Linked DNA regions of Astyanax mexicanus. The protein of the gene in region 1 interacts with the protein of each later gene in a biochemical or structural test. Links are inferred from orthologs where the notes say so. Each region holds a gene or a part of one and is shown on either strand. Other genes may lie near its edges. The genes, in order: lcp2a and tyrosine-protein kinase ZAP-70.

The links.
Region 2: of the proteins of lcp2a (region 1) and tyrosine-protein kinase ZAP-70, one has a biochemical effect on the other in vitro, tested with the Homo sapiens proteins (2 studies listed by BioGRID). The link is inferred for Astyanax mexicanus from reciprocal best matches to the Homo sapiens genes LCP2 and ZAP70.

What each region holds. Positions count from the first base shown.
Region 1 is NC_064424.1:10,746,814-10,763,596, reverse strand, and holds the start of lcp2a (lymphocyte cytosolic protein 2a), read left to right. Parts: upstream 1-10,157; 5' UTR 10,158-10,651; coding exon 10,652-10,729; intron 10,730-11,119; coding exon 11,120-11,182; intron 11,183-12,717; coding exon 12,718-12,764; intron 12,765-13,493; coding exon 13,494-13,559; intron 13,560-13,659; coding exon 13,660-13,688; intron 13,689-14,763; coding exon 14,764-14,807; intron 14,808-14,925; coding exon 14,926-15,112; intron 15,113-15,652; coding exon 15,653-15,744; intron 15,745-15,851; coding exon 15,852-15,909; intron 15,910-16,454; coding exon 16,455-16,517; intron 16,518-16,783. Other genes in the region: slbp2 (stem-loop binding protein 2), read right to left, coding at 1-12, 111-157; zmat2 (zinc finger matrin-type protein 2), read left to right, coding at 1,648-1,665, 2,109-2,199, 3,951-4,074, 4,462-4,535, 4,642-4,787, 4,877-5,020. UniProt on the Homo sapiens protein: Adapter protein primarily involved in signaling pathways within T-cells, as well as other immune cells such as platelets, mast cells, and natural killer (NK) cells.
Region 2 is NC_064419.1:5,984,224-6,001,162, forward strand, and holds the start of tyrosine-protein kinase ZAP-70, read left to right. Parts: upstream 1-9,826; 5' UTR 9,827-10,022; intron 10,023-16,939. UniProt on the Homo sapiens protein: Tyrosine kinase that plays an essential role in regulation of the adaptive immune response. Regulates motility, adhesion and cytokine expression of mature T-cells, as well as thymocyte development.

The DNA.
Region 1 (16,783 bases):
AGAGACAGGCCCCTAAAATTAAATTAAACAAAAGGAAACCAGATTAAGATTAAATCCCAAAGTGTTCTACACTCAGCAACAACACACAGAAGTAAGTAAGTCTACTGGACCTTGACTCCAAAGGGCTATGAAGTGCAGTTTCAATCCGTGCTGTCATGCTGACTCTGCCACCTAGTATGCCGCATAGTTTGAAAGACCTTTAAATCAGCATCAGGTGGATAAGGGGCGGGGCTACACAATTAACCCACGTGTTACGTAGCCGGTCAAATTGACCCCTTTTAAAGTAAAGTTAAAAAAAAAAAAAAATACAGGCACAAGCACGGTGTTTGGATCATATACAATATTGACTAGAGCCCACAAAAGGAAAAATAAATTAAAGTAAACACTTTTTTTTTTCATCAAAATAGAGGCACAATATAGTTGTACTAAAAAAGTTAATTATAATAAATTAACCATATTTTACTTGAAAACCAAAATTCCAAATTTGATTACACTAAATATTGTTCACATTAAATAGGTAATATGTTAAAAGCCAATGTTTCTTGGAAAAACGCACTGGCTCAATCTGGGTTAATATTACTAACATAACAGTATTAAAGACAGCATAGCCAGCAGAAGCTCTGAAAATTAATATCTGTTAATGTTTAACTTAATATACACATGAAGGATTATACATATTATACATATCATCAAGTAGTCGTCTGTACTAATTGTAATAATTGATCACAAACAAATGTTGTTGTATTCACGTTTTGTTTTTCTAAACAATATTTTATCCAATTATGTATTCCACTTACATTGTTTTATCATGCTATTGTGAAGTCAAAAGAAACTGCTCCTTTAAGTAGCAGTGTTTAGTAGTATCTTGTATTCCCATTATAATAACCTGAACTGAATTTGTATTGGTGCATTTTTTTGTAAGGATGTTGTTTATTTTAAATAGATAAACGGTGCACAAAATAGTAACACATATCCATAACTTAAATGGAAATCGTATTTGATAATTACTGACATATTTAAAGAATATAATTTTTTGAAATGACAATATTGAAAATAGGCATGTTTATTTGTATGTTTGTTCACATATATAGCATTGAACTGTATTTAAGGCTCCATACACACAGTGTGGACTGCAGTAGGTGAAGAAAAAAATAATTTATTTCCCAAACTATTATTAATTGCAATCATAGTCTTACAAGGCTATAAAAGTGTTGCTTTTATCCTTTATCACAATCATTTCTTGGATGGTATATTGTCCACAAAAAATGTCAATGCCTATGAAAAAAACTAACATTTTTTTTACATTTTATTTTATGTTGTATATATTGTGTTCTTTTTGCATACTAATTGGAAACATGCAGCCACGTTTTTCATTCTCCTGTACATCTGTACTTATTTGATTTGTATGTTCTTTCTGAATGGGTGGGTGTTTGCCTGTTACTTGTTTATAGTATTCTTATTTATTTTATTGTATTTATTTATTTTACCTTTTTCAGCAAACCGTGTGTGAGAAGTTGTGTAGATTGAAATAAATGAGACAAATTAACACAGAACTCACCTTCACTTTAATCACACAGTTCCCACAGAGCTTTTATTTTGCCTTGTTGTTTTTCTCCAGACAGGAAGAAGATCTCGTTGGTCAGCAACATGGCGTCAGGCAGTGGGGTGAGTTATATTGTTTTTTTTTTTTTATTAGTTATATTAATGTCTGCAAGGTTATATCTGTTTTAATGTATTCAGTAAATGCTGTAATTGATAGACTGTAACATAGCCGGCTGAATAAACTATAAACTACAACGTTACCGTGCTAAAACACGCTCCTGTGGCCATTAGCTTAGGTAGCTAGCTAGCTAAGCTAACTAAACATTTGTCAGTGTTCAGTGAAAATTTAATGATTTATCCAACAACAGTTATAGATCTGTAATGCTGTTAAAGGAGCTGCTGACAATAACTGAATATCTAAACCATATATGTTGTAGGCGTTATATAGCTGGCATGTTAGACAACAGGTTATTGTCACGGTGTTTTATTGTTTATGGATACCCAGCTAGCCGTGGCTACCCTAACTAATTAGCGAATAATCTCCAAATCTCTTTTTTTTTTTGTAGTCTAAGAACGATTTTAGGCGCAAGTGGGACAAAGATGAGTATGAACAGCTGGCACAGAAGCGTCTCACGGAGGAAAGAGAGAAAAAAGATGGTGAGTACATTCATATAGTTTATATAGTGCACTACTGTACTGTACTATATTCACACTTTCACTGCCTATTGTTTGGAAATCCTGATATGACATGGTATATATATATATATATATATATATATATATATATATATATATATATATATATATATATATATACCATATTTTCTTTACATAAAAAATGGTGAGCACTAGGAAGTATGTTCACTGGTCTGTGCATGGCTTCACAGACTGCTACATTGCGCTGTGCTGTGTTACTTGGTGTGTGGTGAGCACTAGATACTAAGTGGTAAGCACCAGATAGTATGTTCACTGGTCTGTACAGGTCTGCACATTGCGCTTTGCTGTTCCACTTAGCCACTTTACCAAAAGTGGGGACGATAAAAAAGTGTCTACCTTCTATCGTCTCTATCGTTTCTACAGTAATTTCATCAATTATTCATGCAAATATATAAAGTAGGCTACGATGAAATGTATTAGCGTGGTCACTTTGCATAAACTCTGTTTATATAAGTGATAAAGTAATCTTCACAAAAAAGCTTCATAATGTGGTTTTGTGACACAACGCTGCTTTACGTTATTTGACGGAAATGCACAGACACCGGTTTGCGACATGCTTTACGTTTTTAAACTCATGAGAGCTGAACAATGGAGACGCATTGTTCTTTTTAAAGAATTAGCTACTGCATCTACCTCATCTGTTTTCATTCGATACATATATATTGCTGCAATAAAAGGTAGGAATTCTCGTTTGTGAAAGTTTGTTTTAATGTCACTTTGAAATAAAGTTTTTTCGAAGAATAACTGAAAACATACTTAAATGTAGTATATCATAATATATATCGTTATTGTGATATAAAAAAATTCATATTGTGATAATGATTTTTCCCATATCGCCCAGCACTACTTGTACAGTTACTTACATTGTTCTCTCACTGGACTTGCTGTTTTTATTCTGGAATGCCAATTACGCATACTTCATATGTGTAGACACTAACCCTACTTGCCACCTTGTTTATCTCATATCTTATAATGTACCTTATAAAACCAAAGAGATGCTGTGTTTTAGCTAGCCCACAGGTTTCTAAATAAAATATTAAAATTAAATTGAAATCCTCTCTGTTTAACCTTAGAACCTGTCTAGTTTACTTTGCAGTAGTGATGGCAAAAGTGGGTCTTTTGGGAGTTTGAATGAAATTAACCGATTGATTCGGGGAAAAAAAGATTCAGCCTTGTGAGTCCTGGGGGATAAATATGCCAGTAGAAGATTCATCACTACTTAAATATGCCTTTCCTAACTGTAAATTTCATTACAGAGAGTGTAAAAAATCCTTTAAATTATGTTATGTGCAGCAACAATTATAATAATTAATGTAGGTCTAAAGTAATTTTCTATGTATTAAGGAGTATTTGAGTAGAATTTTTTAAGAATTTACCACTCCTGGTGCTTTTTACCCATGAGTCAATACATGATGAATACTGTATATCATAGGATTGTCTTTCAATACAGATATAACAATTTGCCATGTCACCCAGGTCTCTCAGTGCATGATTATGTACACCAACGCTGGTGGCTTTTATACTGTTCATATCAATATCGTAATTATATCATACCAAAATTAAGAATTTTGCTCTTGTTTTATTGTATTAAATCTGATGCACAGATTTATAATTATATAAATAATTATTTGCCAGTATTGTTATGATTCTGTTATTGTGCATCACAAAACTCTATGAACGTTTTTTTACAGGCAAACCTATGCCACCAGTCAAGCGGGAGCTCCTCAGGCACAGAGACTACAAGGTTGATCTGGAGTCTAAACTGGGGAAGACAATTGTCATCACTAAAACTACACCTCAGGCTGAGATGGGCGGGTGAGTATCTAATGCAATTCCCGCGATTCCAACTGAATGTGAATAAGACTACTTTTAAAGAATTTGCATTAAACATCCAGAATCAGTCAATTTTTACTAAGAGAGAAAAAATGGAAAGTGCTGGCCTTTATTCCTTAGGAAGAATAAGGTAAATTTGGTAACATTTAACTATATTGCATAAACAGAACTGTCCCAAATCGACAATTTAAACAATAATTCTACATTATATATGACATGGTGAGGGACTGTCAGGAGATGCTGCTGCTGCTGATGTTGCCATTATATCTTTATTTTTTGTTCATTTTGTAGAATTTAGTTTTCTGGAAGCAAATATATTTTAAACAGAAATATTTGGTCTTATTGGTGTTTTCATACTTTTTTATGTAGATACTACTGCAATGTTTGCGATTGTGTTGTGAAAGATTCCATCAACTTTTTGGATCATATCAATGGCAAGAAACGTGAGTTTCTTTTTATTTCTTTGATTTGCTGTTTCAGAAAAATGTAAAAATAAAAATTGTATATATTATATAAAAACATTTTTCTCACTTTGTCTCACTAATATAGACCAGAGAAACCTTGGAATGTCGATGCGAGTGGAACGGTCCTCATTGGATCAGGTTAAAAAACGCTTTGAAGTAAATAAGAAAAAAATGGAGGAAAAACAGAAGGAGTATGATTTTGAGGAAAGATTGAAGGAATTACGAGAAGAGGTACAGAATTTGATTTATAAACATGTTTTGCTTTGCCTACAATAAATGTATTTTGTACATTTGGTTAATATTTTGATTTATTTATTCAGGAGGAAAAAGCAAAGGCATATAAAAAAGAGAAGCTAAAAGAAAAGAAGAGAAAAGCAGAGGAAGACCTGAATTTTGAAGAGGATGATGAAATGGCTGCTGTAATGGGATTCTCAGGGTTTGGGTCCTCCAAGAAGAGCCACTGATTCCCACCTTATACATATCCTTGCTTAAGCCTTTACAGTTCTTACAGAGTGGAGAACTATTCAACTATCAACAGACTGGAAGAACCCTTCCTTGACTGGACTACATTGGGTTTTTTTTATGTCAACTATCACAAATTCCATGAGCAAAGACGAAAACAACAATTAATCAAAATGTTTTCCACCTGTTACTTGTTTTATTACAGATTCATATTTGGAATTAAAATACGGGTGGAGCAGTTTGAGTTGAATGTTGTTAGTTTGATGCTTGTTGTAAATATGATTTTTTTTAAATTCCTCTCACTTGTCCAATTTATTCTGTAGATTTTGAAATATAAGGAAGGGTAAAGGAATGTGGTGTTACAAAAATTAGTGTTTTCATTGACACAAACTTGTCTTTCAGATCTGCAAGAGATGATTGAGGGTGTAGTTGCATCAGAAATACCCAAGCATAGAATAAAGGCAAGTTTTGTGTCAGGGCTGTATTGTGTTTTTTTTTGTTGTTTTTTTTATCCAACTCAAACATGTTCTTGCAAATAAACTGTATTATATTATTTTAAAAGAAATGTGCTTTAATTAAATTTTAAACAGCCTTGTTTCATTTAATTAACATTTCACACAAGCATTTACATTTTCAGGGCCTTTTTATAAATAGTAGTGACTGTCCATCCACGAAAATAGTTTAACTGTTAAAGATCTGCAGTATATTAACGTTATTTTTTTTTTTATGCCAAGAATATACCAATAAGAAAAAAGAAGCTTGTCAGAGCCGAAATGAGCCATCAGTCAGGCCAAGACACATTCTACAACCAAAACACCTCTGAGTACAATCTAAACACCAGTAATAATTGCAGTGCAACAAACAAATGAGCATATTCTGTCATTTGTTTACCAAACTTAAGTGTAATTTGATAAATTCTTATCTGGATTTAATCAAGATACTAAGCACATTAAGAGGTTTCAACAGGTCATACAGTTCAATTGTTTTAGCTATTGCTATTTTTATAGCTATTTTAGCATTGCAGTTTCATTCCAGAACTTAAGATGTCTAAACAAACCTCTCTTAATGATCTTTCTCAGAACTGTTCATTTCATTGTGGCTCTAAAACTATTAAATTTAATTAAATTACATTTACCTAATATAAATTAGCTTTGGCTGAGTGGTTAAGGAGTTATTGTTGATCACTTATTCAGTGACAGGCTGGAATTTTTACCTGCAGTAACAAGCCAACACTGATAAGTAATACACTTTAATAAATGTTTTGACTATTTATCATAGTTATATGACTAATGAAAAATTATATTTTTCCAGCTTAATCACTTTTTATTTTCATTATATAGTTGCATGCATTTTTCCACCCCATCATGACAGGATGGAGAGGTTATGGTTTAATTAAGCTAATAAAAAAATAAAACTCATATTATTAATTGTTGAACGTGCAGCAGGAGTCTTCAGTCCCTTAAAAACGGAAACAGTACAACCGTACTTTCTTAAAGTGGTGTGGTTGTTCCAAGATGACAGGGCATTGTTGAAAATGTTTAAATGCTTGATTTTCTTTTTACAAAAAAAGCTGTTTTCATTATTTAAATGTCTAAATTATTAAAAATCTTAATGAGTTATTCAACTTAATCAGGCAGCACTGTGGACATGGCAAAACCTCACCCCACATTAAATAAATCTGTATAAAATGTTTAAAATTTAACTTTAAAGTAAAAATTAACATTTTAGGGGACTTGTAATGTGTTAATTCAGAGTAAATCAGATGAAAACACTGTAATGCTTTCTTAATGATGATTTTTTTTTTATCATAACACTCTTATCACCATGTGATGGCGCTATTGTTTACCTATATGGTTCTGAAGACAACTGGTAAACCACAGGACTGTGCTTATTTAGATACAATTCATTCAGTGCCCTTAAGTTAAATTCCTGATCTGAACACATGAATCTAAACCCAGCATTTCTTTTGAAACTATAAAAGACACTGTAAGCAACTGTAACTGTAAACAACTGTATGACTCTGACAGTTGACCTTTTCTTTCTGATCTAGTTTAAGTACACCCACCTACAATACCAGTATACATTCAGCATCGACTGGAGTTCACAGGAAGTGGAAATTGTTATAGCGAATGACATAGAAAGTTAAAAGTTTTTGGGACGTGCAAATTTCAGATTGCATTGCTGGGAATAAACATAAATAAAGCCAAATAGTGAGACACTTCAAGTGTCATAAGTTTCCACTAGCAATCGTGGGGCCTGGGGGAAAAAAAAATGAAAGCTCAGACTTTCCAAGTGTGGGTGCTTTTTGGTTTGGCCTACTTTGATTACCACCTGACTTACTTACTTTTTAATGAGCTAATAATAGCTGTGGTTTTGTATAGACACCAACTACCTGCTCAAAAAAAAAACAACACTTGAATGCTCTAATACAGTGTGTCCAAATGTTTGTAGACACCCCTTCTACAGGGTTCGTGCGGGTGCTTGAAATCCTGGAAAATGCTTGGATTTTAACAGTCTGTTTTCCAGGCCTGGAAAGTGTTGAAATTTTAGAGAAAGTGCTTGAAAATGCTTGAAATTCTGACTACATTTACTATACAATAAATAATTATCTGACTAAATAAGTTTGCTTAAAGAAAAAATTGCAGAACGTAAAAGGAAAAAGGCTTTAATTTCTTCTCCTTCTGATATTACCAAACAATTCTGTTTGCATTTACGTAAACATAATACACTGCATCTCTTGCAGTGTGACAAAAAGCAAATCAATAATTTTGAGTATATGTATGTATAAATGGTCTCAACTCATCCCAGAATTTGATATACTACAGTAACTGCTCAATCAAATGAAAAGGGTAACATGCGGTGAAAAACATTGATAGTTACATTGTGTAAAACTGCCATTAATAAATCCATAATTTTTGCTATTTACTTACCTAGAACTATTTTTTTCCTCAGTGGCATAGTGTGGAGAATAGATTTGCTTTTGCAATGTATTGATTATCGCTGAATCACAGTGTTGAGATATCACCGTCATCATTAATTTACCACAGCTGAAAGGTGCAGGAAAAACTTGAAAATGGGCCTTGAAAGTTCTTAAAAAGTGCTTTAATTTTAGCTTGTAAAAGGTGTTTAAACTCTGCTTCTAGTAAAATGAATTCAGCTGCACCCATTGTTGACACTGTGGTGCAAATGCGTGCACACAGCTTGTCCAGTCCCTGTAGCCTATAGACAATACAATAGTACTCTGTGGAGCCGGTACACATTAACCTATTTGTATCATGCCTTATGTCAGAAAGGAGTATAAAAGTCTCACATGCATTGCCCTGTTGAGTGGTGGAATTGTGTTCTCTGTAATAATAATGCTCCATTCATACATTGATTAGTGGAGGAGGTTTTGGTGATCATCCAAGCCTCCTGTCCTCTGTAGTGTTTGTGTTGCTGAATGCTCTAAAATCTAGTAGAAAGCCTTCCCAGTAGAGTAGACAGTTTCTCCAATAAAAGCAGCAAAGGCTTTAAAAGTACTGACATTCATTACTCAAGTAGAAGTATAGATATTGGGGTTTAAAAATACTTCTGTAGAAGCTGAAGTATCAACTTAAGCTTTAAAGTGTAAAAGTATACAAGTTAATGTAAGGGAACAAAATGCTAAAATAAGGGGGGGAAATAAGGATAAAAGCTTAGACCATGCCACAGGATCCTACAGTGCAATAAAATAGGTGTGAAAAAAATACTCTAGTAAAGTATAGATAACCAACATTTCTACTTAAGTAAGCTAAGCAAGTATTTATATTTGTTGTATTTACTTGACACATTTAAAAAAGTATCCCTGTTGTTATTATTATTATTATTATTAAAACAGGACAATAAAATCTATTTTGCTAAGAACAAATGAAATGTGATGTATGAGAGCAGAGTCTATATTTATCTGCAGTTATTTAAAATTGATATTTAGATGTTTAATTCAATAGAATGGCTTGTTCTAAATATAACAAAGTAAAGCCACATTTTAGGCATGCTGCACCAAATCAGAAAAAAAATAAAGGTATGATTACAAGGACGTTTTGCAGGATATGGCAATAAACCGTCCGCTAATTGCTAAGCTAGCCTACTGTTTAAGCTACCAAATAAAGCATTTAAACCTTATCTCTTTTTACACTTTAATAATAAATAATTCTTACATTAATAGTTAAAAAACTATTTTTGCTATCACTAGTTTTTCTGTGCTACAACCAGCCAGTTATTACAAAACAAATTAAAAAAACAATTAATGGACTGGCTAGCTACATTTTTCATTAGCATCTTTAGTTAGCATCGCATGAAAATCTGTTTTACAACATGAAAATGTTTAAGAACCTTAATAAGTTTATCTATTTTAAAGTAATATGTTTAGCTAGCCATCACAGTTTGTAGTGTTGTAATTGAGAGGTGCTTGTCAGCTCCCCTAGCCAGAATATAACCCATTTATTATATCTGACAGTGATGTATGATGTATTATTAGAGCTAACATAGCTAGATAAATGTAGGCTACAGGAAGAGGCCAACTTAATGGTTTGAATGGTTTTCTTTTTTATAAAACATGTCTTATTTGTGTGAAATGGTGCAAATACATCTGTTGGATGGGAACTACATTTGCTTCCACTTTCTGCCCACACCTACACACAACCACAAGCAATGGCTGATTGCTTTATAATGGCTGGTCATATGAAGTTGTTTCACTCCAGTAAAGGGTTGCCTGGCAGTTTATTTAGGATTTATGATTAAAAGGCATATATTTGGGCATTTCTATTTATTAGGATATTTATAGCATTTATAGAAAAGAAAATAGACTCAATTCTATCACAAATCTCTAAGATTCATAGCCGTGGGTGGGCTATATGTGGCATCAGACCCCTGCTAAAGTAGCGCTCAGCAACTCAATTGGTGCATGAAGGTCAATATATGTAAGCTTGCTGTAGGTCATGTGGTTAATTGCTTGGTACTGGGCAATACTTAATAAATAATAAAAATGAAAGATGTATACATACTTGCATCCTTTATTAAGTTGAAATTTGTACTGTACAAATAGACATCTAGATGAAATAGTGTGGGTATGCAAACTAAACAGTGAACTGTTCATTTCTTTTTCTCATAAGGGGCTGTACTTCCCCTATTTACCGCGGTGATCAACAGGAAACCTACAGGGAAGTGCTGTCATTCTTTCTTTTCTCAGTGAGCTCAGACAAATCCTGGGTGTTGTTCGCTTTTTAAATATTTACAAATGTAACATAGATGAATTTAGACTATCTTTAAATTGCTTCCTATGTGAACGTACAGGAACATTTTCTCAGCTTCAAACATTTTGGACTTCTTTTTCTTTTCTTTTTTCATGCTGAGCGTTCTGTCAAGAAGACTTACCTTTTTGTGCCGGATTTACGTCTAGAACCTTGCTTGTGGGTGTTTTTCTCCACCCCAAAGTCAGACAGTGTGCTGTTCTTGGTTGCATCGTGGCATGTCAGAGCTAAACATCCTTTCAGCTTCTCAGGAGTCGTGCCTGGCGTGATGAGTACTTGGAGATAAAAAAAAAAGATTTTTTTTTTCATTTTATTTTTGTAGGGTTTTATTTTCATTTAATTTTAGACAGTGGCAAACTTGGAACCATGAGTTTCAACAATATTCCTTCCAAAATGGAGGTCATGAACTGGGATCCTGCTCATTTAGCTGACTTTCTAAGGAGGGTAAGTTAGTTTGTTACTGTTTTAATATGTTTTTTCTATCTTTAAGACCAATTTAAAACTTTAGTACTGACAGTTTTAATATTTGGTTGTTGTTTTTATTGGTGTTGAGTTTGATTTTAATTTTAAACACCTTTAAGTTTAAAGGAGAAGAACTTAATTCAGCAGCGAGGCCTACTGGTTCACATAGGGTAGAAGACATGGTCTAGACATGGTTGCTTTACACATGCAGATTTCACACATTCACATACTGAACATTTCCTCATTAAGCCTGCTTATGTTATGTCACACTTTCTTTGCAGAGTACTGAAAGCGTGATATTTTTCAATGTGTTTAAACTATGTTTTTCCTCTGCGTTACTGAGTGATGTGTTTTTGTCATTTTCATCTACAGCGGGAGCTGACAGGCTGTGATAAAGTAATTATGAAATGCAATATGAATGGACAGAGATTTCTGGTATGTATCTCATTCACTTTCTGAAGACCTTTTTAATTGTATCCATTACTTTTTTCTGTTGGTGTTATGAAAAAAACATGTTAATATATTTAATATTTTCAAAATAAGCCATGTGCATGTTTACGTACCTTTACAAACCTAAATTTAACAATGGATTCAATCACCTGCCGTAAAACTGTCAAATATTTTTTTATATATATATATTTGTTATATTTATATTTTTCTTGATATAAGAAGCATTATCTATAGACAAAATTCCCCTTCACACAGATATGAGTCATTGTTCTATGGCTGCTGCATGTTGTCATGGATTAAGGAAGTGCCATTATTAGAGGTGTCTTTTACATGTTAATATAAAGCTTGATCTGAATGATGATGCGAGAAATACATATATATTATTAAAAAGATTAGAATTATATATACAGCTATGTATTTGGTATCAGCTATGTATTTATGTATCAGTAATAATTATGTCTTGAACACCACTTATATTAGAAAACACAAATGAACAATACTGAATACTGCTTATATGTGCAAATACACTAAAATACCCCCTCCCTCGCAAACGCACACAAATACATATGCATATATGGCTCTGGAAAAAATAAGAGACCACTTCAGCTTCTGAAAAGTCTCTGATTTTGCTATTAATTGGTGTACGTTTGAGTAAAATTAACATTGTTGTTTTATTCTATAAACTATGCATTTCTCCCAAATTCCAAATAAAATATTGGCAGAAAATGAGAAATGGGTGAAATAACAAAAAAGATGCAGAGCTTAAATAATCCAAAGAAAACAAGTTCATATTCAAAAATATGAACATTTTTTCATATTCAGAAATTGAATAAGCCTGTTTTTAATCACAGTTTGCATGCATCTTGACATGTTCTGCTCCACCAGTCTTACACACTGCTTTTGTATAACTTTATGTCACTTCTGGTGCAAAAATTCAGGCAGTTCAGCTTGGTTTGATGGCTTGTAATAATCAAAGAAACTCATAATTTTTAGGTGCTCTCTTATTTTTTCTCTTATGTGTTGTTACTAGCAAAATGTATAATGGATTAAAATTGTATGGCTTTGGCTTACAAGTGACAGTATTAGACATCAGAGACTTATATTTATATGAGATCTTAACGTCGGCAGTAACAGTGTATTTGCTAGCAACACTATATTATAACATTAAATCAGATTTTTATCCACAAAATTATTTAAATACACAATAGAGGGGTGTTGTTTTTGTGTATTGATACATAGATAAGGAGAGTACATAATCTAAAACAAGTTATAAACGTGACTTACAGTGGCAAAACAACATTTAGGAGCCTAATATTTTATTTATAATAATTAGTAGACAAATAATATGTCTTCAGTTTCTGTAGTAACTATTTCTGTAATAGTTACTTATTTATACTTATTTATACTTATTTAATTATTTGTTCTAATGTTTTTTTTTTATGTTTTATGAATTTTATTTGCTTTCAAGTGTATTGTATGCTTGAAATAATAAAAAATCTTTCCTTTCTTTGTGTTTACAGAACATGACAGAAAACGACCTTCAGAAATTTCCTAATCTTTACTCCCCGTGAGTATCCTGCTTCTTTTTAGTTCAGTTTGAGATTTTAGTGCGGTTGTTAAACTTTGTTGAATTTCCTTTTTTATCTATAGTTACGTTTGTTTGTTTTGCATGGGTTGCATTTCCTTTCTAAGCTTTCCATCAAAATGTTGTGACCTTGTAATTGTAGGTGGTCCACGCTGCAGTATGAAGTGTTAACCCTCTTATTATGTGTTTCGGTGCATGCACTCACATTAAGAGGAAGCACTGCTGAAGAAAGATAGTGCAACACATGCAGATGTGGCAGGAACCATTGCACAGCAGAATCATGTGTTACTTCAGTAGTATTTCAGGGAGATGAAATGGCTGAATGTGCAGCATGTTAAGGAACTGAAAATGATTCTGAGAGATAAAGTATCAGAGACTAGACAAAACAGTGGTCATTTTGAAGAGAGTGTCATTAAAAATCACAGTGTATACATGTTTACCTTTAGAACAGTTTTAAGGTACATGGAGGAAAACGATCTATTTTGGTTACCACATCCTGCCGAGCCCTCAGCTCATGCGCCCACCAGTTCCAACTCACAAGACCTGCACATATCGTTCTTATAGTGAGCCGATAGTACACACATGAAGTAAAAAGTCAAAGAATTCAGTTCATTTCACAGGGTAATAATCTGTAATTCTGGGTTTAATAGTGGTAACCAAATATTATGTTTCCTGTGTATCATTTGTATTTCTTTTCTTTCACTTTTGTAGAATTATCTCCAAAATCTGTCGAGAAATCAACAAGAAAGAGGAGAAGAGAAGTATTTTCCCCAAAAGGCAAACACTTTAAAACTCGTTCATAAGTAATCCATGCTTCCTTACTTCAACTTTTAACTTTTTGTTAATAATTATGACTTTTGTTCTATACTTTATATAGGAATCCTGCACCAAAGTTCCAAGAAACAGGTACTGATGATAAGTGTATTTTAATCAGTTACTGTTCTTCATATAACACCTTTAGCCTGTGATAACAAATAGTACTTGAAAAGGCACAGTGGATTGACATTTGTGTAGAATAGAAATAGCTCTTATTAATATTTAGGGCCCTATCTGAATGATCTATAGGCGAGCCGATGACGGCGCGGACTGATTTAGAACATGTACTAATTCTCCTAATTAGTCATGGGTTTGTTTTGTACATAACATGAAATAAGCCAATCAGCTTATCACTTGTCATTCACTTTAAGAGCCAGGTGTGCTCTGACCTTGATAGATTGCTATTTTAACTGTGCAGCGCTTCTACACTTCTGAGTAGAGTACACTGAGCTGGGCATTCATGCTGTGAGGGTGTTAGAGCAGATCATTTACTGATACAGAAATGTTAATTTTTAGTAAATTTAGTATTATGTTTATTGTGGATGCAAAAGTTGGTTTAGTGCGTCCTTGTGTTTGTGTAACTAGCGGGATGTACATGTGGCGCTCCTGCGTAGCTAAGATAGCATATTAGCATATTAACAAGGTCAGAGTGTAAGGGTTCGATCAAAAAGGGTGACTAGCAACAACTAGCACTGTGCAAACTGCCTGCTTATATCATCACACACTTCGTATAAAACAAGCTTGTGAAGTTTCTGATGCACAAATTGACACAAAATTGAAAAAAGGAAGTTAGCTAGCCAGATAAAGTAGCTAATGTTGCAGCCAAGTGTGTATTGATAAAGGTGTGAAGACCAAATCATCCTAAGCTGGTGAATATACCATTCTATATTTATTAGCCTCATAGTTTCAGAGCAAATCTAAGACTCCAGGCATGTAGCCTTTTATGGTAAGAGAAAAAGTGTGCATCACAGTTTTTAGTTTTTGGCTGATAATTTGCTTCCCGCTGAATTATCCAACAGCAGTAGATGAATGTGCAGATGTCTGCAGTTATGCTCTGATGAGTAGGCAGGATGTCCGTATCTGATATCGTAGTGGGGGTTAGGTTTAAAAATCACATCACATAATTCATTTTTCTTATTCTTATTTTTTCTGTTTCTCTTTACAGTGGAAGTTGGTCATGATGAACAGGGTTGGGATTCCGAAGAGTTTGTAAATTTCATTTCTAAATCTCTCTTTTGAACAATTTTTATCTGCATGTTTGTTTGTTTGGTTGTTTTAAAGCATGCTTTTGTTTTTCTACATTTCATGCGTTGATGTTGCTGTAAAGGAAAGTGATGACTACGAGAGCCCGGATTCGCACGATGAAGGGGGAGGCAGTGGAGATTATGAGTCAGCAACTGAAGCAGGTGGGGAGAGCGACAATGATTATGAGCCACCCCCAAGTGAACCCTCTGATGACCTGCAGCATCCCCACATCCGTCCATCAAAACCCATTGGCAACAGCGAGTACATTGGTAAAGAGCAGCTTTAAGAGTTGAAACAATAAGTAACTTGAAGTTGTGCATTAGAGTAATTTTACCTCAGTAAAGGCCATTGTTATACAGAACATGAAGTGCAGTGTGTAAAGCACAGTCAACTTTGTTAAATTAAGGTAATGGTGCAGCATGAAGGGGATGATAGTGTTTTAAATATGGAAACAGGATTAAAAAAATGATAGGTGTATTTAATACTTTTAGATCTATTTTACAGTCTATTTACTGTGCATCTAATAATTCACTATTATTAATAATAATAATAATCACACTAAATACTTCTTCAGCTTGTTCTTTTTAGTTTATCCACAAAAGGATGTTTTTACACATCAATAAATGCTTGTATGCATATTGAGTAAGTATTTTTTAATCAAGGCTTTGAAGGTGGCTTTGCTCTATTTTATAATACATTTATAATACATTATAATACATTTTACTTCTTCCGTTTTAGAGAATCCAGAAGAACTCAGTCCCTTTGCTTCTATTTACTGGTACTGTGTTTTTTGTTTGCTGTGTATGCAGACCGACCTGGTACTTCAGTAAAAAGCCAGCCACCAGTTCCTCCTGCACGTCCCGGACCCGGTCCTCCACTCCCAACCACAGGACGCCCCAGTGTAAGTCCTCCTCAGTTCTCAGAATTGCCTCCACTTCATTTCCCTTCCTTTCCTTTTTCACTTCTTTAATTTGTATCCAGACAATGAATGAATTCTTATACTTGTAGATTCCTGGTGGGTTCAAGAGGACAGATCACTCACCTCAGAGACCTCAAAAACCACCACGTAAGTAAAACACTCATTTCTGGTTTGTAGAGTACATTTCTGGGAGGGCTGGGTGATATTAAAAATAATAATATTAAAAATATTATATTAAAAATAATAATATTTAAATGAGTACCACAATACAACATAAAAAAAACGTTTATTGCTATTTATTGCTGCTGTGTGAAAATTGCCTTATTTTTAAATAGTACATTTCTAATGTTGTATGTGTACATAAAACATTTGCACTCTTTGTGCTATTTTGTAAGGAAAAGGTTGTTTTTACATGTATTAATGGATTGACTATGTATCTGATGAGGTCTATATTAAAAACCCCACTTCAAAACTAGTAGCTAATTTTTCACTTAGAAAATATTTAAATTAAAAACACAAGCAAATGCTCATTATCAGGTCTGGTCATCTGGTTCTTGGTTTAAGACAGTTCTCTTTTAGAATTACCAAATTGCATATTCATTATTATGTCTTTATTTAAGTATTTGTGAAAGCCCTATCTAATTATTTTAATTCATCCATTATTTTTTCATTCATTCTTTTTTTATTTCCAGCTCCTGATCGCAGTAAAAAGCCAAGTACTCTGGAAAGAGGCTCTAACCTTATGCCAGTTCAAGGTAGTATGCTTCACTATACACTGTTTTTAAGGAACTTGTGTCCTAATGCACTTCCTTTTAATAATACAATACATTGTACAGTATTTACATGGGCTTATGGAGGGGGTATTGTTTTAGACTGTAACATAACACCTTTATTTAAGCAGAACATTGTGCTTTAAAGGTAAAATTTCACATTTATGATTATAAAGAAAAGTGTATTGGATTTACTTGATTCAGGTAACCTTAGTTCAAAACAAGAAAATTGTTACATCAACACAAATTAA
Region 2 (16,939 bases), on another chromosome or scaffold:
TTTCTCTACTCTCTTCCTCTGTTATCTTCTTTACTATTCTTATTTATTTTCTCTTCTTGTCTTCAATCTTCTCTTCTCATCCCCTCTTTTCTTCTTTACTACTCTTATTTCTACTCTTTCCTCTGCTTGCTGTCACTCGTCTCTTCTCATATTTTTCTTTGTTCTCTTCATCCGTCTTCTTAATTGTTCTCCATACACCTTCTCTTTTCCAACCTTTGCTTCCAACCTCTTCCCTTCACTTCTCATACCCTTTCATCTTTTCTCTTTTATTCTACTCTCTTATTGTCCTTACCTTTCTTTTTACTCTCTACTGTCTATTAATCTAATTTTTTTCTCTTCTTCTCTTTTCCTTCTCTAGTTATTTTCTCGATTCGTCTCATCTTTAACCATACCTTTCCTCTCTTTCTCCTATTCGTTTCACTTCTTCAGTGTTTTCCACTCTACTATCATCTCCTCCTTCTCCTCCTATTCCTCCCTCTCATCCCTTTCTCCCTCTCATCTGTTCTCCTCTGCTTTACGCGGCTCTCTCCTTCTCTCCAAACCCCAGAGGCTTTTCCTGCTATTACTTCTTCTTAGAGACTGGTTTTATCGTGTGGTTATTAGACTCACAGTCAGATCTCCAGTGGTTTTCATTAAAGAACTCTCTCATCTCGCTCTCTGCAAACAAAAGCCCCTCTAATCGGACCCCCCTGTCCTCTCCTTTGTGAGCTCGGAGCACAGCTGCTGGCTCTGCTATAATACAAGAGGTTTTAAAGTCACTTGTTCACTCTCTTGTCTACAGACTACTCATGCTATTCAGAAAGTCATCCATTCACCTTTACGTAAGACAAACATGCCACATAGGGTGAGCTAAATAATGATTATGAACCCCACTAACTGGATACCCCTCTTCAGAGTGCTTCTTTCAGCCCATACATTGAGTAGTTATTAGCACAGCAACACAGCAGAGGTAACAGCTCTAACGATACACTTCAGCAGCAGCAGTTGGAAAGCTAAAGGATGGACTTGTGTTCATAAAAATAAATTTTTTTGTGCTGGATATTTTGGTTGATTATAAAAAATAAAGTACATTTCATCTTGAGAGATGATGCAGGAACATCACTGCACTTTCAGTTGTGGCATCCAGCCTCACCCAGTTGGTTGATCGATATAAAAGAGGATAGCAATCAGCCCCCAAAAAGAGTGATTGGTCAGTCTCTAGTTGTAATCCAGTTGTCGTCATTGAAAATCAGGTGGATACAGCTGAAGACGAGAAGAGGGAAGACAAAGTGTTGCCCAGCGGTTCATGTTCAATCCAAGGTTAAGGCTTTACATTAGATTCTAGAGCATTGCTGTGAGGATTTGATTGCATTCAGAGACAAAAGTTACAAATTAGTGAGGTCAAGATGTTGGATGATCACCACCATGCATCCAACCATGCAAGTCAACAACTCAACCCAAAAGCTCAATGTTAAGACTTAGTACCCTCTCGCCCATGCATGACATTAGGCATGGTGCCAATGTTTATCAGTTCACTAGAGCTCTTGTCTCTTGGCAATACTTAGCAAGCAATACAGTGACAAGACTGACAAGCTGTGTTTGTGGATTTAAGAAGCCGAATGAATTCATTAGAATGGACGTCCACAAACATTTGGATGTAATGGCTTAAACATGTGAGCTCCAGTGCAAAACTACAGAACCAAACTTTGGACAGCAAACACGTCTTGGCCGATTGACTGCATTGTGGGTAAGGGAGGGAAAACTGTGTAGATTAGAGTTTTGGGCCAAACCACCAAACCAGTTAAGGACGGGTTTAAGAATGAGAGGAATCTGGGAAGTGTGGACGGTTCTGGAGGTCTGGATGGCTGGCGTGGTGTTACTGCGTAACTGTATCTGACTGAGGGTCCAATAGACCCGTAGTCTAGTCGTGTTCTTGTGTATAATGTGAAGCAGGAGAAGGTGTGTGAGTGTGTGTGTGTGTGTGTGTGGAGGCCGAGGGGTATCAGGCACCAGCAGACTTCACTAATCAAACCCATAAGACCCTGCTGCACGTACTGGACGTCTCTGGAGAGCAGAAACCCTGCTTTTCATTCTCTCTCTCTCTCTCTATTTCTCTTTCTTGCTTTCCTTTCCTCTCCCCAAATCTCTCTCTCTCTCTTCTTTCTCTCTCTCTCTCTTTTTCTGAAAATCTTCAGTCACATTTTCTCTTCACTACACTCTTAAAAAGAACAGTTCCACAAAAGGTTCTTCAAGCAATGCTATAAAAGAACCATCATAGTACCACCACGGAACCATCAAAGAACCAGTTGAAGAAGAACCATGTTTGAAGTTGAAAGTATAAAGAACCTTCACATAATATAAGAACTGTGGGTGGGAGATATGCTCCTAAAATAATATCACAATATTTTAGGGTATTCTTGCGATGACCACATTCTTGATTTTATGCATTTTTGTGCATTCAATAAACATATAAATGTTCGTAACTTACCATGACTCTGATATTAAAGAAAAAATAATAGTGTAACAAAATAGAAAAAGGGACTTGCTTTCAAGAATGTAAGTAATATATTAAATATTATAAATATTTTTTTTATCATGTCAAAATATCTGTTGATAACTTTAAGTATGATACGATATGGCACACCCCTAATACAAACCCAGTATAGAACTTATACATTTTTTTTCACCAATTTAACCAATTTGTGTGGTGTTCATATTTTTGTTACTCGTTTACTTTGTTACTTGTATTTAATTCAGCAAAATTAAGCAATTTTACATTAAAATGCTTTACACATGCTCGCTTCACCTAAATTGCTAGCAATATAAACAGCTTACATGGTTAATGTTTGCCCTTTACCTTTCTTATGTCACATTTCTTTCAAAAAGTGCTTCTCTTTTTTTTATTAGTTTTTTAATAAAATGTAAAAAAAAATGAATTAAACTCAAGATATGAGTAGAAAATTAGATTAGTTTCAAATTTGCCAATGAAGCAATGTTTATTAGCTCTTGGCCAAACATACTGTATGTAATATAAATGTGTAGGGGGGGGGGGGGGGGGGGTTTACAGTGTGTGTTTATCGAAAATGTGTTTTGATATATGTTTTTCACAAAAAATGAGCCAATGCCAATGAGTTTGATGAAAAATGAAAACGAGTCCCACAGACCCGAACACCACACAAGGGATAAGAACCGTCATGTTCTTTAAAGCAGCAGTCCTGAAGATTTTTTACAGTTTTTAATTGAAAATTAAACATTTAAAATTCCTGCAAAACCACATTTTTCTGTCTTTTCTTCACTAAAACGATCAGAATCATTTACCCACACTTTCACCAAAAACTCTCAGACTGTCGCTTTAAGCATTACAAAAATGTGCTTCATGCTGAAGCATCTCGTTAACAAAGACATCTCTTTAAAGGAGCAAAACTTTTCAAACTGTTTCATTAGAGATATGAGAAAGTTTTTTTTTAATATATAGTTTTAAAAACCCATTAATGCTGCAGGGATACATGCAGCAAAACAGTCCCAAATAAAATCTTGTTTTTTAAGATGTGTCACTGGGTTGTTCTCATCATCATTCAATGATCTGCTCTCTAAAGTCCTGGGCCTCATTGATCAAGCATCTCAAAAAGTAAAAGTACTAATAGTCTAATGGACTCTCTATTAAACCTAAACATGCACCTATTGGCATAATGCTAATGCCAGGCAAGGTGGTGACCTCACTAATGCAATCAAATCCTCAGAGCAAGGTTCCAAAATCTAGTAGACAGTCCTGCCTGGACAGTAGGCATAGTTTATCCAACAAAAGAAAGATACAATCTTTTTAATACTCTAGATTTCTAAAGAAACAAGGAATACACAGGTGTCCCAATACTTTTGTCCATCCACATTACTTGTCTCATTACTTGTTCATTGGAACAGAAAGAGCAACGATTTGATGCTCTAACAGAAACTGCAGTCTAATAGTTTGGGGGTATTGTGTCTATTTTGAGTCCTAGAAGTATTTGGGTTGGTTTCCACAACATATTCTAAAAGTCTTGGACGTCTCCACCGTCCTGAGGCTGTCTCAGGCAGACAGGGTTCATGTTAGGACTACAAAATCTGTGCTGTACAATCAAACAGTACAAACACAAGAAACCAGACAGATCTGGACACTTCTGGGCTTTTCCATGCATATCTGCCTTCATATCCCTATTTGGACAGAATATCTGGCCAGTAATGTGCCAGCAATGGGAAAAAGGCATTTGATGGAGAAGAGCCAGAAATCACTGGCCTCCGCAACCTCACGTACCTCAGTGAGAAGATCTAAAAGAGTGTGTTTATACTTTTTAGCTTTGGTTCAATTGCAAAAAAAACACTAGTTCAATTACTCTGTTGGTGCAATTTGTTAGATTAAGGGTATTGTTTCACCTGTAGTTAGTTTTCCTGTTTAAGTGTGTTAAACGGTACATATTCTAAATCTTTTACATAATTTAGAAGTGGTCTATGGGCTAAACAAAACATGTGCATGAAGTTCTTTACGCAAAATCACTCTCACATAACGAAATCCCACCAGCTCACCATTATCTTTCAGAATGCACTTTTATGCAAATAAGCTGTGGCTGGACACACCATGTATTTGCTGAGCATTTACCACACATTAGTGTTAGCTTGTGCTAATTGGAAAACATGAATAGTCTGGTTTATGCTGGTTCAACTGAGGTAGAAGCACAAAACGTATTATTCAAGAGTACTTCCATCTCCCTTATCTGCTGACTAATCCTACAGATCCCTCTATCAGAAGATGTCTGCTGGCTAATCCTGCTGTGCAAAATTCATGAAATTGTGCGTGGGGCTGTGGTGGGGGTTGACGGACAAAGGGTGGTGCCAGGATGGTTCTATGCACCAGGGAAGCAAAGAAGTATATGAGGATTTCACCTCTTCCCCTTGTGTCTCTGTTATACTCAAAAAGAAGGGGTAAGGGTAAGTGGTAGGGCCAAGGGGGGAAATGGGATTGGGCCTAATACCTGCCCATTAGCAGTGCAGCACTCAACAGCATCTACATGATGGACAGTTTTAAAGAACAGCGAACTCCATCCACATGATGTGTCTTTGTCATTTTGGCAAGTGGAGGCCTCTAGTTATGTTCATGATGTAACTAGATGTCTGTTAACTAGATGTCTATGTGAAAGCAAAGCCAGGAGCAGATGAGGTGAACTACAGTAGCCGTGACCAGACACCAGTTGCCCCATATAAACCAGACCCCTGTGAGAGAATGCAGAGTCTCAGATAGTGAGAGTCAGCGGGTGCGGATGCAAGCTCAGCTAAACGGCTGGTGATGCAACATCTAATGGACTCACTCAGCCAGCGATCAGTCAGCACACGGCAGAGTGGAGTGTGTGAGGAGTGAAGTGTGTGAGGAGTGATCGTGATCGTACATGGGCAGCAGCACTCCCTTCACACTAAAATTCATCGGATTTTTTTTTTATCTCTTTAACTGAGCTTCAATGAAACCGTTCAGTCTGACTGATCAGACATATCCAGCCATGTGACTACCAGACCAAGATATAGAGAAAGAGAAAGAGAAAGAGAGAGAAAAAGATATAGAGAAAGGGAGAGAAAAAAAGAGATAAGAGAGACCATTCATTATTTCTTCTGAAATCAAGGGTATTAAAGAATGGAGCACCATCCAAAACACCATTCCAGAGAAAACACTCCCAATGCTCCAAAACTCAATGCAAAGTTGGCTTTGTACTCCTAAAGCCCATATCTGGTATTAGGCTTGGAGCCAATAGATCAATTGATTATCAGCTCCAGAGAGTCCTATTCTATTGGCAGTAATCAGTGCCACTTAAAGTAGCTGAATGCATTGATTAGAAGTAGTGTCCACAAACAATTAGACATATAGTAAATCTGTATCTGGGGATCCAAAACCAAACTTTGATTAACCATTATTGTGCTAAATAAACTGTTAATAGTGATTACGTAGCCATTACAAAGTTAATTCAGATTTAACACTGGTCATTTTTTATCTCACTGGTGGTCTCAAACCCAATTAGCTCTCTAATGCAGCCATATAATGGGTTATATAAAGAGACAAATAGCTCTCAAACGTTCTATTAGCCGCTCTATATTACTACAGCCCTGTACTTCTCATTCACATTCAGATCTGCTTTGGTGATCAGCAGTGATCTGCAGGGATCTATTAATACTTTCACAGTTTCCACTTGACCACTCAAACTGTGGTGAATGCATCTCTTTAAAAAACACCATTGTTAAAACGTTAAAAACTTGTTAAAAACTTCCCGCAGAGCCATTTAGCCAGACAAAAACTGAGAATAGGCTTGAACTAATGTGTACAAATGATGGTTAAACCAACTGAAAAGTGTTTAAAATCTAAAATTTTAACGAAAACTCTTCTTATAAAGCCAGTTAACCAAACAAGAATTAAACCTACTGTACATCAGACTAATATTCACTAATGTAACTAGTGTGAAATGGTTTAGTTAACTTTTAAGGTGTTGAATGAACAGTTGTAGTGTTTAATTAACTCTATATACAGTTAATTCAGACTTAACACTGGTCATTCTGCAGTGTAGATTCTGTAAACTGTTCTAAGCAGTGGTCACAAACTCAAACAGTTGGTTCCATCAATAGATTTGGTTCTAACTCCAAAATACAACTTTTAGACAGTGCAGGGATCTACAGCATTGATGTGTTAACATTTTTACTCTTTCCATTCTCGAACTAATGTGCACAACTAATGGCAAACCCATTGAAAAGTCTAAATTTAAATTAAAAACCCTTCTTTCTCTTGGACTAATGTGACCAACCAATGGGGAACCCATTAAACAGTATTTTTTGTCTGGATTAAGCCTAGTTTATGCTTTGGGAATGGTTTCGTTAACCTTTACAATGTTGAATGAACTGTTACAGCGTTTAATTAACTCTATGTATCTTAATAATGTGCATAACTAATGACAAACCCATTGAAAAGTCTTTTAAGTCTAAATTTGAATGAAAAACCTTCTTAAAACCACTTAACCAAGCAAGAATTAAACCTACTGTATCTCAGACTAATGTGCACAAATTATTGAGGTTTAATTTAGGCATGTGACTACAGTGACTACAGTGCACAAACAATGGGAAATGGTTTAACCAACTTTTACAGTGCTGAATGAACAGTTGTAGTGTCTAATTAACACTTTATATAGAGTTTATTCAGGTTAAACACTGGTTATTCTGCAGTACAGACATTGTTAACAGCTTTAACCAGTGGTAAAACTCTCAGAGAGTACAAGGATCTACAGCAGGGACCTGTTAACACTTTCAGTCTTTTCAAGAATTACCTGAAAATACACAGTAGTCTTGGACTAATGTTCCCAAATAATGGCAACCCCAATTTAACAGTATATTATATCTGAATTGTGGCTTAATTTAGGCATGAGAAATGGTTTCATTAACTTTTACAATGTTGAATTAACTGTTACAGTGTTTAATTAACCCTATATAGAGTTAATTCAGACTCAACACTGGTCATTCTGCTGTGTAGATACTGAAAACTGCTCTAACCAGTGGTCCCAAACTCAAGCAGCTGGTTCCATTCCAGAATACAACTTTCAGAGAGTGCAGGGATCTACAGCATGGATCTGTTAACACTTTCAGTCTTTCCAAGAATTACCTGGAAATACACTGTAGTCTTGGACTAATGTTCCCAACCAGTGACAACCCAATTTAACAGTATTTTATATCTGAATTGTGGCTTAATTTAGGCATGGGAAATGGTTCCATTAACCTTTAACGTTACAGTGTTGAATGAACTGTTCCAGTGTTTTAATTAACTTTATACAGAGTTAATTCAGACTCAACACTGGAAACTGCTGCAACCAGTGGTCAACACACTCTAACTACAGTCTCCAGTTCCCCACAGCAATACAAAGACCACTACACGCATGTATACAAGCACTGTGTGTAAGTTAATAACGCTTTATAATGAAGTTATAAGAGTTATGAGTTAATACCTCAGTTCAGGCAGTGGCAGCAGGGTTCTGGAGTATCTGAAGCTGGTCCAGGTCCTCCTTCTTCACGGCTTCATGCTGAGAGGATCAGTGCAGGGTTTGTGTTCTGCAGTTTCTGGGTTATATATGGTTAATATATGGTTTATATATGTTTTTATATGTTTTGTATATGTCCTCCTCTCTGCTCTGTCGGGGAGAAGCTGCTCCGTGTAGCCGGGCAGACAGCAGCAGGAGCCGGGGCTGAGCGCAGGGAGGAGCTCCGCCTGCGGTGGGCGGGGTTAGTTTTATTTTCCACCCGTTTTCCTCAAAACCCCGCCCCCTCCTCCTCTTATTGGACAGCTGCACACGCTCACAACTCCTCACGTGCAGTTAGGACCTTAAACAGAGTTGAGTCAACTGAGTTATGCCAACAATACACTTAAAAAACACACACTTAAAAAAGTTAAAAAGAGTTAAAAAGCCTTAAATCTGACACTTTTCTACAGAGCCCCTGAAGGGACAATGTGTGTTTTTATTTTAGTAAATAAAAAAGGGGTGAGCACTAGATAGTAAGCGGTGAGCACCACATACTCTGAAAACACAAACAAATAAAAATAAAATCAGACACTCATATGGAGCCCCTGAAGAGACATGATGTTGTTTTTACGTAAAAAAGTAATTAGCACCACATATTAAGTAGTGAGCACCAGCTTCTAAGTGGTGAGCACCACATTTTAAGCAGTGTGCACTAGATAGTAAGTGGCATGTAAGTGTAAGCACCAGCTACTAAGTGGTGAGTACCACACTTAGCCACACCGCAACATTGTCATGCTGGAGACTGGGCTCACCCAACATTGCAAACGCAACATTGGCATGCTGGAGACTGGGCTCACCCAACATTGCAAACGCAACATTAGCATGCTGGAGACTGGGCTCACCCAACATTGTAAACGCAACATTAGCATGCTGGAGACTGGGCTCACCCAACATTGCAAACGCAACATTAGCATGCTAGCAACCAGGCTCATCTAACATCTCCAACATGGCCAGGTTCATCTAACATCACAAACGTAGCATTAGAATGCTGGTGATCGGGCTCATACAACATCTCAAACACAGCATTAGCATGCTGGCTAGCCAATAGGAAGATTGCTCTTTCTTTAAGCCCTCTCACTAAACGTTCTGTGGTCCATATGGCTGTTTAGCCCTGATGACCGACTAGTTTCTTAGTGTTTCGTTCCATGGCCTACTCACGTAGAAATCTTACTCTCAGAGCTCAGAACTGTTTCGCCTTTGCAGCACCTTTCTTTTTAAGAGTCTAGGCTCTATACAGTGTGCATGTTCTTGTTGTTGTTCTTGGTTTGAGGTCCTGGGAACCTGCACTTCCACCGTCTGTCATATTTACAGCCATGTCTTGTTAATCTGCGGCCATATTTGTCTTTGAAGTGCCGCGGCGTGTTTTGGTTTTAATGGCTGTTCTGTGTAGTCTACGGTAATCTCGCGCGGCCATAAAAACTGACGGCTAAGGATCTTTTATAAGGTGTTGTATTATGACACATTTTTGAGCGGGCCGTGGCCTCTGAGGACCCCTTGTGCTAAGTTGCGATGGAGAGAAATATACCAGTGCTTCATACTGTAAACATGCTGCGGAGCCCTGCGCTAACAGAGTCGTGCTGAGCTGATTTAGGTGAAGATGGAGTAAATTGCTGTTTCTGAGAAACGGAGAAGCTTGCAAAAGGGAATGCAAGGCTGTGGGAGAAAAGAGAGAGAGAAGATCAGCCCACAGAGTTCACCTGCACACACACACACACACACTCACACACACACATGCACTAACACACACACACACACACACACACACTGAAGCAGTAGCTCAGAGCCCAGCAAGTGCAGATGTCATAGATCAACCAAGATCACAAAGCTTCATCACCTCAGCAGAGTGAAGACGTTTGTTAGCGTAGCGCCCTCGTACCCTAGTTTAATTAATTAAAAAAGTGTTTCTCAGTCTCATTAAGTGTCTCTCGCCCTTTAAATTTCTCTCTATCGTCTCTCTGGACGCTCCAGGTCTTGGTGAGTTCCTTAACGCTTGGCTTGTTGTCTTGTTTGGGCTTTTTTTTTTTAATCTGCCCGGCTGTGTTCCGGTTCTTGATCTGCCTCTGGACCGGTTTCCCCACTGATGGAAAAGTCAGGCTTGCTCTAGACGCCTGGAAGTGAGGCGAGGCAGATTAGACGAGAGCTTTTTGGACTGATGGACAGATGCAAGTTCTGGCCGAGAACCGCCGCACTGGTCCAAGAATGCTGATAACGTTGTTCAACACGTGCTGGATTCTGGCGGCTCAGAGCTGGAGGCCTTTCCTTCATTTCTGCAGTACTGAAGGCCTCCAACTCTGAGCCGTTTTCAGGTTCAGTTGGGTTTTCAGACGTTGCTTTGTCTGCTGTGTGTGTTGTGTGTGTGTGTGTGTGTGTGTGTGTGGTGGTTCTGGTATTGTGTGTATCCTGTGGTGGAGTGGTGCAGCACTAAGGCTGCTCTCGGCTTTTGTTGCACGTTGGAGTCTATAGTTTATTGTAGCAAAAGTAAAATAAGTGGCATTATATAAATTGTGTCTATAAGTTGTCACTAAAAAAAATTATAATTTACCGTTTGCTTTGGATCAAGAATCAAGAATACTCAATATATATTATATATTTAATCTCAAAATAATTGAAGAGAGTATCATAACAGATTATCAAAAAAACAACATCTGTATCAATTCTAACTAATTCATTATTTTATTTTTCCCTAAATTGCACTTCTTGACTTTAGTTTTAACATTAATATATTTCATTTTAACTGTTTAACTGTTCCTTATAGCTCTCCAGTTCTATCTCTTCTTATGCTCTTCTTAACTCTTAAGTTGATTAACAGTTGATTAATATTTCTTCCTAAAAGTTCAGTTAGAATTTAAACTGTTAAAAAAAAATCTTTAAAAGTTCAATCATACCTCTTTAGTATTATGTATTTTAAATTGATATCCCTAACTGTTTAGTATTACGTTTGTTTTTTTAACCATTCATGTTCTCTTTAGTCTTTGTTAGTTTTAACAAAAAACGTTCTTTTAACTTGTTCAATTTTACGTTGAACTGTTCTTTATAACTCTTTTATTATATCATAAATTTCTCTTCCTAAGTCACTTAACATTAATGTTTCTTACAAGCAATTAGCATCTTAGCCTGGTCCGTTCTTTTTTATGTGCTACTGTTAATTATATTTGTTTAAGTTTAAATTGAACTGTTCTTTATTTAACTCTTTAATTGTATTGTTTATATGTTTATATTGCCCTTCCTAAGTTAATGAACATTATTATTATTATTCTTATAAGTATTTAGTATTTAGTATTAGCTTTGGCTGTTCTTCACTCCATAAGAATAAATCCTCTTTTACCTGTTCAGTTTTAACTTTTTTTAATTTTTCTTTTAAACTAGTCAAACTCAACTTTTACTTTTCTTATAATGGCTCAGACTTTTAACTTAAAAAAAAGTGAACTGTTTAACTTAAACTGTTCTTATTAACCCTGCAGTTATACATTTAGCTGTTCTTATTAACTAGCTCATTAATTTAACTTTAATTATTAATTTTTGAACTGTTCAGGTTTGTTTTAACATTAGCTTTTCTTTAGTGTTAAAAGTAACCATTGTTTTTGTGTGCTAGGGTTACTATTTGAACTTGAACTGTTCTTTATAATTCTATAGTATTTATAAGTTCATAGACATTTATGATTCTTTTAAGCAGTTAGCATTTTAGCTTTGGCTGTTCTTTATAACTCTTTAACTTTATTGTTTATATAAATTGCTCTTCTTAAGTTAATAGACATCTATGTTTCTTTTAGGCAGTTAGCATTTTAGCTCGGACTGTTTTTATGGATTTATTGATCTTTTTTTTTGCTTTTTTTAACTGTTAAGTATTAAAATGAACTTACTGTTTATTTTTTTAGTATTAACTTTTTAAAATAACCAACTATAGTTAGTAGTTAAAGTGTTTGGTTTGTGCAGAAGTCACTGTAACTGCAGTGTCGTGATTGGCCTTGAGATCCAACTGTAAAATCATTTTTAAATTTATATTTGGTTCATTTTCTTAAGATTTCATTGAGTTATAATAGAAAGATGTGTGTTTAAGTTGCTGTAAAACATTATAGCTAAAAGGAGCAGCTGATAAAAGGCGAGAGCACGCTGAAGCAGAGATGAAACATCAGCTTTTCCACCACTCTACGCTACACAGCAGCTGCGACATCACAACTGCAGATTAAACTGTATTTATAGAGCTCGAAAACTGATGTTCAGATGATTGATGTTGTCTTTGACTCTTTGTTAGCAGATGTTAAACGTCTGCAGCCTGATCTGACATGTTGCTTTTTATCTATAGCTAAAACATGATGGCTAAAATTGAGCAAAAAGACAGAATAATAAAATCTAGATCACAGATAACGAATGTTCAGCTCAGGCAGGGTCAAGTTAGCTTGATGACGTTGCGATTAATTAGGCTGCAGGAAAATGGACATTTCTGGCCTCGTATCTGTTCATTTATTTGAGACGTCATATCATCAGTTCATCTGATTTTGCTCTTTATAGGTATATGTTTGAGTAAAATTAACATTGTTGTTTTATTCTATAAACTACGCACAACATTTCTCCCAAATTCCAAATAAAAATATTGTCATTTAAAGCATTTATTTGCAGAAAATGAGAAGTGGTAGAAATAACAAAAAAAAGATGCAGAGCTTTCAGACCTCAAATAATGCAAAGAAAACAAGTTCATATTAATAAAGTTTTAAGAGTTCAGAAATCAATATTTGTTGGATAAATCTTGGTTTTTAATCACAGTTTTAATGCATGTTGGCATCATGTTCTCCTCCACCAGTCTTACACACTGCTTTTGGATAACTTGATGCTGCTTTACTCCTGGTGCAAAAATTCAAGCAGTTCAGTTTGGTGGTTTGATGGCTTGTGATCATCCATCTTCCTCTTGATTATATTCCAGAGGTTTTAATTTGGTAAAATTAAAGAACCTCATAATTTGTAAGTGGTCTCTTATTAACAGAATAATACACTTACAGTGCATCAAGTCCAAACAACTGACAACATTATGGCAGTCATAGAGAAATACACAAATATTCAACAGTAATGTAAAAACAAATAAATAAAAAATAGGACAGATACTTTTCAGTTTGGGACAGCTGTAAAAAAGTTAGTCTGGAGCCACGACAACGCTGAAATAATATATTGAGCGACCACAGACTGAACCAGTGGACCCTAAGGAACGGGCAGGAGTCCAGACCTGACCCAACTCCAACTGCCCACAGTACTAACAGTAAAGTCCAAAAACAAGCAAAACTGTTTTGCAAACATGAACATGAACAGTCAGAACGTGAATAGCTGTCTTTAGGACAGGGGTCAGCACCGCTAATGGCCTATTGACATAGATTGCTTTCATGAAATACAGTAAAGCAAGTTAAAAACAGATAAAACATAAAAATATGCAAAAGAATAAATAAACACTACGTTTTTTTATATGCATTTTTCATACTGTGCCAACATTTCTAATTTTGGGCTGTACCTCAAATGTAGATTATCGGTCCTTTGTAGTGTGGTAGGCTCCTAAAGATAACACCTAAAAAAAATTGTAATATATTTCATATTTTACTCTTTTACCTTAAACACAGGTGACAAGTAATGAAGTACAAATACTTTATTATCTTACTAAAGTAGAAATTCAGGTTATCTATACTTTACTGGAGTAATTATTTTATTTATTTATTTTTTTATCTCCATACATTTACACACAATTATCTAAACTTTCGACTTCTTACTTTTTAAAAATAGCATGTTTTTTTATTCCGGCTTCTTATCGTTCAAAAAAATAAATCAGTAGTAGTGCACTATAGGACTCTGTGGTTCGGCCTAAGATTTTGTTCTTAATGGCTTTAATTGTTCCCCTTATATTACTTTTACTTGTAACTTTTAATAATAAATGTACTAATAAATTAATAATAAAAAATAAAATGTCACCAAATGACTGCCTAATGAAGAGTAATCCAGATCTCAATCAGATCTCATTAAACAGAAAACCAAAAATACAAGTTTTAAGTTATTAGTTTTAGTTCTGTGGAAAAGTCTTTGCGCTCTGACTGTGAGTGTTGACCGGGGGGGGGTTTAAAAACCAGGACATTTTCTCACTTTTTGCAAAAAACCTGGGAAGCCCAGGACAGGACGTGAAATACGGACATGTCCTGGGAAATACGGACGTTTGGTCACCCTACATTATCTAGCTCACTAACCTTAGTTCTCTCTCCGGTAACATTAGCTAGCTCGCCGCTAACCTTAGTTCTCTCGCCGGTAATGCAGGTAACTTGCCACTAATGTTAATATGTGCTTTCCCACCAGTATTAAACAGACCGTCTGAAAATGTAATACCTACAGCAAATTTACAGTAAATTTAAGACAATTTAAGACCTTAATAACCCAGCTTTTAATTTAAGACATTTTTAGGACCCTGTTAATGTATTTAAAGCAAACCACTATTAAATATTTTGTTTCAAGGTCAAAAAATTTGAGCTTCCAATAATTCCAGGAGACCTACTTTCAGTGTTTCTGTAGAAATCTAAAAGAAATAAGATTAAAAGCTTAGCACCTAATCTGTTAAACATGGTGGTGGTTGTAATCACCAATCTGTAATCTTTTAGACAGCACTGCATTAAAAAACATAATTCAAAAAAGTTTGGTTTTAAATAACAAATATATAAAAAAAAAACGTCTTATTGACAGATCACACTGAAACTGACTGATTTGAGTGATAGTGATCCCCAAACTGAGCACAGATGGTGAATTCTGGAACTAAATTTTATTTAAAAAAAAAAGGCTAAAATCCCTTCAGAGTCTCCTGTACATAGAGAGTGGTACAGTCTGAAAGTGAGATCTGGTGTGTTCTGCTTATTTTTAGTCTGCTGAGTGTCTCTGATTGCCTCGCCTGTGTAAGGCTTTGATAGCTGATTGTGTGGTTTGGCTGCTTGTTTTCACAGTGTAACCTGAGCGTTAGCCCTAGCGTTAGCACAGTGTGGGGGTGTCCTCATTAGCGCGCTTTGCACCCAAACGTCTGCGGCTCCTTTACACACGTCCGGAACGCAAACCGGCAACCTGTGTGTTTTTCCTTAGTGGAAACTCCAGAAAGCAGTTTTAGGCCCACAGATTAAACGGAGGGTGTTTTTTGCGTATACAGAGAATGAACGCACTGACCCGTACGGATGATCGCATGCAGCATTTTGCGAAGCTAAGTGTAGATAAATAGTAAATGTACAAAAAAGTATTGGGAGGCATACACTGTTAACCCATAATATATGCTGTTGACCTCAAATAAATTCAATCTATTTAAAATAAAATTGCATTTCCAAATTTTACCCAACTATTTTGAGTTTGGTCAAACATTATCTTTCTTTCTATTCTATTCAGGGACAATCTCTTTGCATACTGGGTGTGTCCACCAGTTTCTGACACTCACCATCAGTGTGTAGTGATTCCCCCTAAGCTACTTCAGGTAAAGTTGTAGATCATATATTATGATAAACTGAGTGGCTTCTGTGTTGTAGGCTGTAAGAACAAGCCTCATTTTCTGAGCAATTTCATCTTTGTAGGCTTTGTTGGCTTTGTTCTCCATCTAATAAACAAACAAATAAAAAATTTGTTTATCTGGCCATCAAAGAAAAGTACAATTAATGTGCAGTTAAACTGACATAACATAATGTTTTAGTAAACATTATTTATCTCCAGGTTTACAGCATTGACTCCCTATTGTCGTAAATACGCAAAATAGTACAGTGATTATTGAATAAACAAATTGTTTATGTGTGACATGCTAGAATTAAAAAAATAAATAAATAATAATAACAATAATAATATATATCTGTTGACTAAACTTATATCAGTCAAGTCTTTAGGTTTATTTTTCATATTAATTTTTACTTTTTTTTTTACTTTTTTTTTGGTAAAGACAACATGTTTATTTAACTTTACATAAAGAATTCAGTAGTGATGAGCCAAACTAAAATTTCTGGCCAAAACCTTTGTTTGAAACTGAATTTATTATTATTAACAGGACAAAGAATATGATAAATACAATTATTTGGGCTTCGAGTGGTCCAGTGGTCTAAAGCACTGCCACTATGATAAGGAGATCATTGGTGGAACAATTGGCCTAGCTAAATTGGAAGAAAATAAAAATATATTTATAAATAAAAAGACTATGAGGTGCATTGTAATATAATGCACACTATCAATAAACGTATATTTTTTGCGGTCTTTTTTCATACACAAGGCGCACCGGATTATAAAGCACATTTTAAGTGATACTAGTAAGGAACAAAGGTGTCGCCATGTTTCCCTTCTAATTCAGCAGTTCAAAGTCAAACAAGCGCTGGATTAATCTTAATCTACACAGATTTATCTCCTTATTTGGGCGAGAAAAGCGCTTCCGTTTATTTACAATAAGCATAGATTTCCAATAGTTTAGCACGGATAGCAGCAGCGCTAGCCAAGGTCAAATCCTCACAACAATGCTCCAAAATCTATTAGAACTGTAGTATATATAACTGTATGATATAATATTGTTATCATGCAAAAATCTTATAAATCCATTTTTGTATTTTTCACTTGTATGTGAATCTAGCATTTGTTCTAAATATTGTGTCAAAATTCATGATACAATAGAAATAGAATAGAAATGCTCCAAAATGACTAAAAGTTAATACGCTTTTTGACATTTTGGAGATGCAAGGTTCTTCCACTGCTTTGACAGTATACAATACTTGAACTTTACTGCACTATAAAAAAGTTACTGGTACACATACGCTTTCCCTCTGCTTGTCGTATTGTTGTGCATATTTTCCAGCCAAAACAGCGCTATGGCCTCCCCCAACAAACTTTTCACTTTCTCTCAGATTTTCCATTAAAACCTCTAAAAA